Linked DNA regions of Caenorhabditis elegans. The protein of the gene in region 2 purifies or fractionates together with the protein of the main gene of each other region. This does not show direct contact. Each region holds a gene or a part of one and is shown on either strand. Other genes may lie near its edges.

Region 1 (3,629 bases), on a different chromosome or scaffold from region 2:
ATAAAGTAAAAGCTACCAAGCTGATCTGGAATCTGTTGACAAAGGATGGTGGTGTTCGTGCATTGTATAAAGGCCTTGGACCGACAATGGCACGAGATGTTTCGTTTTCAGCAATGTATTTCCCGCTTTTCGCCTATTTGGATGGCCTCGGTCCACGAAAGAAAGACGATTCAGGTTTGTCGAATTGTTTACTGAAACTTTAAATTTTCAAGTTCATATTTAAGGCGACGCAGTATTCTGGGCAAGCTTTGTATCAGGATTAACTGCTGGAGCAACTGCATCATTATCAGTGACTCCATTGGACGTTGTGAAAACAAGAATTCAAACTGGAGGATCCAACTACAACGGAATTTTCCACGCGTTTTATCGTATTCTCGCTGATGAAGGTGTAAAAGCTCTTTTTAAAGGAGCAATTTGCAGAATGATGGTAATGGCACCACTTTTCGGAATCGCTCAGACTGTCTACTATGTTGGATCGGCCGAAAAGATTCTCGGCTTGGAAAAAGGATCAAGAGTATAAATTTCCCCCCAATTCCCAAATTTTCACAATTAATTAGGGCTCATTTCTGGCCAGTCATTTGCAATGTTTAACGTTTGCGTCGGTTTCGCCTAGAGCATTTATTTTCTTTTTCAAAAAAAGATTTTTTTTTTAAATATCAACAACAACAAGTTATGTGTGAAAAGCATTACAAAATCTAACTTAATCACTTGGCCAGAGATTTTGCCATTTCATCGGCCTTGGTCGAGGCAGCTACCACAGCTTCCATAACAGCGTAACGGAATCCGTTCTTCTCAAGTGCCCGAACACCTTCAATCGTTGTACCGCCAGGGGAGCAAACCATATCTTTGAGGGATCCAAAGTGCTGAGTTTCAATATCAAATCCAGAGTTCGAATTGAGCACCATTTGAGCTGCTCCGAGTACTGCTTGAGCAGCTAATCTTTTAGCCTCTGCTCGTCCGAGCCCTTGTGCGACGGCTCCATCTGCCAGTGATTCGATGTACATAAATGTCCATGCAGGACTACTCCCTCCAATAGCCATTGCCGGGTTAAAGCATCTTTCTGGGATAAGTTCGACAGTTCCAACACACTCGGCGAACTCGCGTGCCAATTCGATGTGAGAATCTTGATTCATAATTTTTTCATTCTTTTCATAGCACATCGTCGAGGCGCCGGCTCCAATAGAACTTGCTACATTTGGCATCAAACGAACAATGGTAGTGTTTCCCGAAACGAATGGCAACTGGAAAAATGTTATGTACAGCAAATTATGATTTCTAAAATTATTTTATAACTGCTTATAGTAATCACCTTCGCGTTGAGAACTTTTAATGGAACTCCAGCCATTACAGAAATAATAAATTCTGGTCTTGAGTTTACAGGCCAGCTTGACACAACTTCTTCGAAAACTTGAGGTTTCACACAAATCACATAGATTGCCGTCGAATATCTTTCCAGCATTTCCAGTGTGTTTGTGAAAACGTTTTTATATCCTAGTTGCCTCCATTTCTCAGCCGATTTTTCCGTTTGAACGCCAATTACAATATTGCTTTTCGGTGTAAAGCCTAAAAATTAGAAAACAATTTAATTCAAATCAACGAGGAGAACAATTTTTTAACTCACCTTTATTCTGGCATCCTTTTATAATTGCAGCGGCCATATTTCCACCTCCGATGAACACGAATGGCACAGACTCTGAGGACCCGTTTGTCAATTCAGTATCGATAGTCATGGTTTTGACTGAAATCAATAATAATTGTTTTTGACACAACAAAAAGCAACATATTAAAAAAAAAAGAAGAAGACATGAGCAGAGGTTTGCCCGCTTAACGAGATTCTGTTTCTCAACTGCGTCTCTGTGCGTTTAACATATAACTGGGTTCTATTTTATGTCTCTTGTTAGACGTCTAGACGTCTAAGTCTCCATTTATATAAAAGTTACAATAAGATATATTATGGTACATGCTGGGATCATTTTAGTACCGAAATTGACATGAAAAACTAGTATTCTATAAAAATTTGTATCTTAAAACCGTGAAAGGCACAGAAAGTCACCTAGATGATTATTTTGTCATCATTCCAGAGGCCGTATAGATAATAAAATATATTTGTCATCGGTTCAGTTTTGTCATCCTGCTCTGGAAAATAATTCAAAACGTTCAAACCACGAACAAAACAGTAGGAACAGGTGAAACACAGAAAATAAACACTTCAAAATTTCTTTAAAAAATGTAAAATTATTTTATTTATGATAAAAACTTGAAACATCTGAGCAGATACGGTAGACATATTAAAGGCGCATGCTGAATATTGGAGATGGGTTTTGGGACGAAAAACTACGGTCTTTTTTCGCCTGCCCGCGCAAATTTTAGGCGCGAATTTCTCTATATTTACACGAATCTTAATTCTTTTGGATATCATTTTAATTTTCAGTTATTTTCTCGCCTCATCCTAATAAATCGTTTCAGACTATTTATTTTTGATAAATATAGTGAAATTTCTGAATTTAAAGAAGTTTTCCGGTCTAAAATTACGTTTAAAAAAGCTGTATAGTTAGGAACACGTAATTTCCACGTTTCGATCAATTTTTACTGAATGTGTTAATTGTTTTTCATTATTTAATTTTTGTTCAACACAGTTAAAGGTAAGGAAATGTATGAGATTTGAAACGCTTTTCGTGTTTAGTTATTGGTTTTTTGCTTCAAAATTCAACTATTTGGTTCAAAAAAGTCTTGTTTCTCTCACTCTAACACTTGGAAATTGCGCCCTGCTGACACTTATTTCGGCGGCGAAAAACATTTTTTGAAATGAAATTGTTCACTCATTTTTATAATCGTTCTTCTGTTAAATTTTTTAATTAGAGATACCAGTGTATTATAATGTCGTATTTGCAGAATGGGTCGCCTAGGCGAAGCAAAAGCTGTGGACTTGGAAGCGGAAACGTCGACTGTGGGCCTTTATGATGTGTGCACCGTTGGGCGAATCCTTCCCCGTAAGAAAATAAAACTATTATCTTTATGATTAATGTAATTAAATGTATGTTTCAGTGTTAAATGAGATGTCAATCGATAAGAAATCTCCGGCATGGAAGCTCAAACCGAAAAGTAACGAGCGATTTCTTGTTCTTGCGTCGTGCTCCGATCTGGCAGTCTTCAGTCTTGGCGAGAAAAGCGACTACTCGTTCAACACCGGACTTGGAGGTATGAGCTATTTCAGAGTCTCTGGAATGATTTCTCAACATTTTCAGGAGCCATCACTGATTTCGAAATCCTTGGAAGTTCTTCCTTCTTTGTTGGAGTCATTGAACATCGTCGTATTGTAATTCTCTCGCTGGATAAACAAGAAATTTACTTGAACGAGCCAGCTCCTCATGAAATTGACTTCGTTGTCTGTCACACTACTTCCAGTGTTTGCCAATTGATTTTCGGGAGCCGATCTGATAATTGGCATACTATCACATTGCCAGGAGACGTGGCTGCATCTAAGGAGACTAACCGTTTCGAAAATTGGCACAGAGATCAGATTCAGGAATTTTTCCACCAGGTAACGCTCATCACATTCATTTAAAGTTTCAAATTAATTTTAATACTCTCTTTTCAGGCAATGGGAAAAACGGTTTCAAAGTCTGTTG
Region 2 (3,757 bases):
TTATTAGTCGACTGTTGTTTCCCGCTGATGAATAAGGAAATTAAAATTTTTTTTGTTGAAAAATTGTGTTTTTTCGAACAAATGTCGAGATTTTGTTAGAACGTTAAATAAGAATTGCTCCAGCCCAACCAATTACTCCGAAATTCATCGAAAGAAGGAATTTGTAGTGGAAACAATAAATAAAGCTCGTAAAAGTTTTTTGTGGGCTCTTTTTGTCTGAAACACCTCCGTTTCTAAAAATTGCAACTACATTCCCGTATACAAAAGTTCTTTCGACCAAGAACAAAAAAATTTCAGTTGCTTTTCTCCTTTGACAAAAATTAACAAATAAAATGAATATTTTAGGAGCCAAATAAAAAAAATTAAACAAAAAAGAACAGTCCTCATTTGGATTTAGATTTCTGTAATTGTAAGTCGTAAATCCGCAACATCTAGATAATCGTCAAATGGGGCTCAGACAGCTCAAACCCTGGCTTTTTGAATGATTGGCAACCAACGTTGGTGAAATTTTCTCATTTTTAAATCGCTCACCACTTCTTTATTCTAAAGAGTTCTCTGGTCACTCACCTATAAATCCAAAAAAAAGTGCTTCGATACACAAAATTTTATTCTCTTTTCAAAGAAAAAGGGACCTTTTCCTCTATGCTATCGATCACCTGCGAATAGAACCTAACGGAAAACAAAAACAAAAAGAGCAACTGAGCCCCGGAGCCTCACCAAAACCAATTATCAACGGCGCGGAACATCTTTTCCCCTCTATTTCTGCCATCACATTCCGTTTCGAGAAAAAAAAGAGCAACTTTTTCCTGCTCTGAGCCATAGGGTGCTCCTTTATTTCCGGTTGGTCCCTCTAGCTCTCCATTTCTCAAAACGAGCTGCTTGTTGCTCCCTTTTTGAGCTCATTCTGTGCTCGTTTCTCGAGGAGAATTGCCCGGTGCAATGAATGTATTCAATTGTTGTCTTGTTGGTGAGTCAAATTTGTATGAAAAAAAATTCAAGAAATGTATTGTATTGTTGTCTACGTGTGATCCAGAGTATCTTCAGAAGGTGTGGTTTTTTTTCTGAACTCTAAATTAAAAAAAAAACACATTTTCGGCCTGCTCCTGACACTGAGTTGACATGTCCTTCGCTTAGACTCATGGGAATGTAGAATTGGTTTCAAAAGCAAAACACGCAAACTCTGGTCCCCCGCAGCTTTTACATCGATTTCCAAATGTTTTTTGTTCGTTTTCTCGGTTTCAAAAGACAATTTTATCCGTATCAAAAGGTCATACAGGGAAATTTCGGAACAAAATTGAAAGAAAAATCCTTGAATAATTGAAAATCATGTTCAAAAATTACGATTTGCTTAGTTTTATCTGATTTTCTGAGCATATTCTATATTTCGAAACCCATTGAATGTGGCAATTGTTTTTTTGGTGTGTTGTGCCTCACTCCAATACCAATTTCCGTGACGATTAAATTGAAAACAAGACCGAAAAACCAAAAGAGAAACAAAAAAATAAAATCTAGTTTTTTTTTCTCCCCCTGTCACATTGAATTTATATTTTTATCCGTTTCCAATTAGGTTCATCCGTTTTGTTTGCCATCGATAGCTAATTGATGACAATCAAATAAATTAATAGATAAAGTTTCTATTTCCATTAACTCAAATTTCCTTTATTCTGTCAACTAAATTTATGTTGTTTCGTGCTCAGAAAATATGAGAAAAAAAACAGAAAAATGCATGCACAAAAAAGTTGACGCTAATCTTTGTCTCCCCAACTCCGAAGGCTCAAAGAGCACGCAAAGGGCTTATCGATTTTAAGAATTACACATTCCTTAAAAAAAGCTCTAACTCTAAAAATTATTTTATGTTTCCATTCTCAATTGCTGTATCCCCAAGAAGAGGTAAAAATTTGTTTTTTTTTTCTCTATGTTGTGAGCCTGATTGCTCTGCTTCTTCTGACTTTTTCGTTGAACAAAAATCAAATTTTATTTCAAATTCATAGATATTCTGTTTTGCAGACCCCGAAAATCGTGCGGCAGGCTCAAACGAGGAGGAAAACTATCAAAAAAAGACAACAACCGACGGTTTCACAGCAAAAGCCGACGGAATCAAAATGGCTGACGATGAGGAAGAAATTATTCAAAAAGTCGAAGTGAAGCCGGATGAATTCAATGGATTAATTGGATCAATTGCTGGTAACCTGATTAGAGATAAGGTTAGTTTAATTTTTGGTTAGAATATTTTTTTTTTAAATTTGCTACATAGACATGTTGAAATTTAATTGCAACCTAAAACTAATTATCTCACAGGTCGGTGGCGCCGGTGGTGATATCCTTGGAGGCCTTGCCAGTAACTTCTTCGGAGGTGGAGGCGGCGGAGGAGGCGGCGGCGGAGGCGGAGGTTTCGGTGGTGGAAATGGAGGATTCGGTGGAGGTATTTTTATTTTCAAAATTGTCAGACAAAAATTCCCTAAAAATTCAAGTTCCTTTTTTTGTGTTAGAAAACATTTAGATTCACTCAAAACATCACCGTGTGGCTTAGATCAGTGAATTTTTTCTCACACCTTATATGTTGTCCATGTTATCGTAATCCCATTTGCTGCTACAGTAATCCATAGGTTCGAACTACGATCAAGGCGGGAATGGGAACAGCGGAGATCAACAAAAAAGGAAACGAGACATGGCGAAAGACTTGATTGGAGGAATATTCGATAATGTGGTGAATAGGAAAGGAAAGAAGGAGCAGGATAACTATGGTAGCGTTTGTGTTTTTTTTATTTGCTGTTTTGTGCTTTCTATAGATTTGATTATATAATTAGCTTAATCATTTTCTCAAATTTTCTGAACATGGTCTGTAATTTATTATCCTCGGTTTTTTTTCTAGTTTTTCATTCTTGGACGTCTGGGAATGTGAAGCTTCTTTGTCTTTTGTTCCGTAATTGTTCACCAATCTTCAAGCTTTTTTCTTGAAAATAGCGCAATTCCACGCTCATAGCACAAATTCATCAACTTATGTTAAAAATCAGGTGGAGGTCGACAACAGCCGCCACCAAATAACAATTTTGGTGGTGGAGGTGGATCTGGCGGTGGCGGAGGGTTCGGAGACATTCTTGGGGGACTTTTGAGCGGCGGAGGTGGCGGCGGTGGACAAAGAGGCGGCGGAGGGCAAAATTACGGTCTGAGAGTTTGAAAATACAATAAGTTAAGCTTCTACGCACTCACCAACACTCACTTAAATACTAACAACACCACTCATTTCCAAAATTTGATTTGAAAAATATGGCTATTTTGAAAGAAGCTTTAGACTTTTAAATTCTCCTGTTAATTCGCTTTTGACTGATGATTCGTGATTTTCCTTTAAAAATGCAATATTTTGCATGTTTGCTGTGATATTTCGTGTGAAATTTAGGCGGAGGCGGCAGTGGCGGTGGCGGTGGTGGAAACAACATCGGAAGCTTGGTCGGATCACTTATTGGTGGTGGTGGTATGCATTAGGATTGTAGTGTGCATGTAGTATCATAAATGTTGTGTTAATATTTTAATAGTTAATAGAGCTGATGATCAGAACATTTATAGATCTTATTGACACTTATTTATCACATCTAATTGTATTTCATTTCTGAACTATCTACACAAATGTGGCACCCATGAAATTCAAGCTAGAGTAATATTTTAGGCGGAGGTGGTAACTACGGCGGTGGTGGTGGAAATCAAGGAGGCGGCGGAGGCGGTGGCTTTAACTTCAATGATATCGGTGGACTCATCAACA
Region 3 (3,183 bases), on a different chromosome or scaffold from region 2:
TTCAATTCAGAGTTCCAGCAGCCATAACTTGGATGCTAACAACGGTAAATCTCTGAAACTTTCAGATTGAGTCTTCTACCTAATATCCTTCATTTGCCCAAACTAGATCCTCCTACTTTCTCCGGTGCGGTGCGGCCGCGTCGCGGTTCAATTTTTTTCAAAATGTGTTATACTTCATGTATGTATATACTCCAGAAAAAAAGACATGGTGTGTTTGCGTTGATCTAATTAGAAAACTGGAAGAGCCGGCGCAGGCGAAATTTGATTAACAGTAGAGAGAGGGGGTTTTGTGGAAAACATACAACCGGAATTCCAGGGTCCGAAATTTGTTTTTGAAAGGAAACATTTTGAGTCTGTATTCTTGGAAGAGTAAATTCGCGACCGCAACGCGGAAGAATTTAAAATTTAAATACTTTAAATATGAAAGTCCTAGCTCTGTAAAATCACCTGCAAAAATTTCAGGCTTCTAGCTCAAATATGAAGCAAGTTATGGCAATTTGAAAAAATGAAACTAGCCGCGATGCGACTGCGACGCGCCCGCGACGCGACCGCTCCGCACACACCTAATTGTTAATTGCATGTTAGAATAAAATCATCGGAAGACTATGAAATTTTCGGTGCATACAAAAAAACAAACATATAAACAGACAAAATAACATTTGAGTACAAAACTTCATTTTCTAGCGAACTCTGAGGGCTGGGTTGTTGTACGGCTTCTCCCCACAGTACATGAATGGCTGAAATTTAAAAAAAACTTTTTTTTTCTGAAAAAAATCTGAAATTTCATACCTGTTTCGCAGATCCCTTTGGAATCATACACGGCTTCACGACAAAGAGCAAAAATGCGGAGAAGACTCCGAGATACCAGCAAAGAATGATCGGAGAGGCCAAATAGTCGAACCAAGCGAGCTTCTGAAAATAGAAAATTGAATTTTTGGGGGGCTTTGGAGCATATTTGTAGCATTTTTAGCACATTTTTAGGTGAAAAATCAAGTTTTTCAGCTTTAAAACTGGAAATCTGAATCAAAACACTTACTTGATTGGAATACACCATGGTTTACCGGATTCGATTTTTTGCCTCGAAAAGTGAAAAATGGAAGGAATGAATGAAAAATCGATATTTGAAGTATTGATTTTTGATTGATTAATTTGAAGAAAAACTTCCAAATTTCAAAACTTCAAAAAAGTTATCACGTAATGAAAAAATTTAAACACTTTTTTAAAATTATTTTTTTTTCAAAATTCCGTATCTTTTTCAATTGTTTAGATGTAAAGCTAATTTTAGGCTTAAAACTTGCATTAAAGCTTTAGCAATAACTGAATAAATTTTGCCATTTACTACTTAAAAACCTACAGTATCCCATGGGTTTTCGTGGCGGGACTCGAAAAATATTTAAAAAATTCTTGAAAATGTTTGAAATTACATTGCATTTGTAGTTTTTTAGATTTTTGAGAGATTTTAAGTTCAAAATGGGTAGAAAATCATTGTTAATTTGATACAGAATTTTTTAAAATTAAATCTCAAAAATCTACAGTACCCCATGAGTTTTCGTGGCGGGACCCAACATTTTTTTTTGAAAATGTTTGAAATTGTATAACTGTTTAAAGTTTTTTATATTTTAAAGAGATTTTTAGTTCAAAATGTTTAGAAAATTATTGTTAATTTGTTGCAAAATTTTAAAAATCAAACCTATAAAATCTACAGTACCCCATGAGTTTTCGTGGCGGAACGCAAGTTTTCAATATTTGCAAAATTTCAAAAATTAAAAGCTTCATAATTTTGTCAATTTTCAAGTTTTTGGACTGATTTTGTTTTACAGTATGTTTCAAATACTGATTAGCATATTTGTAAAATATGATCCGCATATGTGCAATACCTACAGTACCCCATGAGTTTTCGTGGCGGGACCCACAATTTTCCAAAAAATAAAAACTCGATTTTCACGCGAAATTTCAAATTTCAAAAAAATTTTAAGTTTTAAATTTTAAAACTTTCCACGTGAGTTTATTTTTATATTTGGAACTTTTGACGTTGCAAACTTTGAAAAACGTTTTAAAATCGATAAATCAAACATTCCTCAACTAACCTTTCTGTTGGAAAATGTGAGTTTAGCGGCTGTCAACTTTAAAGGCGCATACCTTAGAAACTGGAAGAGATATCAAAAAGTTGTCAACTAGCAAAATGTAAAACAAATAATTTGCTACATTTTATTAATTGACAACTTTTTGATATCTCAATTTTTGGCAAAGTTACCGCTCTTTTTCAGATGACTGTTCCATATTATCGAGATGTTCCAACTGGAAATGCTCTACGCAATTTTTTCAAAGTAGGTTAACAGTTTTAGACAAAAATGTTATTAATGTTTACTTAAAGTTTAAAAAATTCAGATTATGCTCAAAAGGAAAGGAAATTTATTTACAGCGATTTTTAAAGAGTTATGTTTGTTTCTTGGCTTGTATTTTTTATTTATGGTGATCTATCGACTTGTTTTACCAAAGAGCGGAGGTCAACGGTAAGTGATTTCGCTGGAAAAACTCTTTAAAATGTAGCTTTTTTTCAGTGAAATCAGAAAAATTGTCGAAAACTTGCTGTCCCATCAGGAATTTACGATACCCTTGGAGTTTTTGCTTGGTTTCTTCGTTTCTAGTGTGGTGGATCGGTGGAGAAAGTCGCTGGACAGTTTAGCATATATTGAGAGGTAAATTGCGGCATTCTTGAAACCTTTGTAATTCCACTGAAAGCTAAGTTACTAAAAAGTTGTCAACTTGTGAAATGTAGAGCGAACAATTTTCTACGTTTTGTCAGTTGATAACTTTTTGTATCCTTTCTGCGCGGAGTTATTGGGGTTTAAAGATGGAACACTCTCCAGCACACAGTGATATTGCGGTTTAACTTCAAGCCTCCATAACTTTGCAGTGAATAGTAATATCAAAAAGTTGTTAACTAACAAAATGTAGAGCGGAAAATTTTCTACATTTTGTCAGTTGATAACTTTTTGGTATTTTTATTCTACGCGGAGTTATTAGGGTTTGAAAAAAGAGTACACTCCTGCCCACTGTGATGTCCACAGTGATATTGCGGCTCAACTTTAAACCTTCATAACTCTGCACTGAATGACATTATCAAAAATTGTTAATTATTAAAATGTAGAGCGTAAAATTGTCTACATTTTGTTAGTTAGT

The links.
Region 1: the proteins of clp-1 (region 2) and pycr-4 fractionate together in Caenorhabditis elegans (co-fractionation; one large-scale study listed by BioGRID). This does not show direct contact.
Region 3: the proteins of clp-1 (region 2) and ZK849.6 fractionate together in Caenorhabditis elegans (co-fractionation; one large-scale study listed by BioGRID). This does not show direct contact.

Annotation. Positions count from the first base shown.
Region 1 is NC_003282.8:7,475,560-7,479,188, forward strand, and holds pycr-4 (Putative pyrroline-5-carboxylate reductase 4), read right to left. Parts: upstream 1,739-3,629; 5' UTR 1,731-1,738; coding exon 1,622-1,730; intron 1,564-1,621; coding exon 1,310-1,563; intron 1,242-1,309; coding exon 705-1,241; 3' UTR 604-704; downstream 1-603. Other genes in the region: slc-25A18.2 (SLC (SoLute Carrier) homolog), read left to right, coding at 1-174, 225-520; Kinetochore-associated protein rod-1, read left to right, coding at 2,894-2,990, 3,046-3,198, 3,246-3,541, 3,599-3,629.
Region 2 is NC_003281.10:7,979,067-7,982,823, forward strand, and holds the start of clp-1 (Calpain clp-1), read left to right. Parts: upstream 1-2,007; 5' UTR 2,008-2,102; coding exon 2,103-2,204; intron 2,205-2,298; coding exon 2,299-2,422; coding exon of another isoform or gene 2,423-2,538; exon of another isoform or gene 2,539-2,606; coding exon 2,607-2,744; intron 2,745-3,397; coding exon of another isoform or gene 3,398-3,472; intron 3,473-3,664; coding exon 3,665-3,757. UniProt on the Caenorhabditis elegans protein: Calcium-regulated non-lysosomal thiol-protease which catalyzes limited proteolysis of substrates. Required for assembly and maintenance of integrin attachment complexes which are essential for maintenance of adult muscle.
Region 3 is NC_003279.8:14,197,954-14,201,136, forward strand, and holds ZK849.6 (NADH dehydrogenase subunit 1), read right to left. Parts: upstream 1,184-3,183; 5' UTR 1,055-1,183; coding exon 1,037-1,054; intron 913-1,036; coding exon 790-912; intron 738-789; coding exon 681-737; 3' UTR 658-680; downstream 1-657. Other genes in the region: best-26 (Bestrophin homolog 26), read left to right, coding at 2,268-2,327, 2,389-2,513, 2,562-2,699.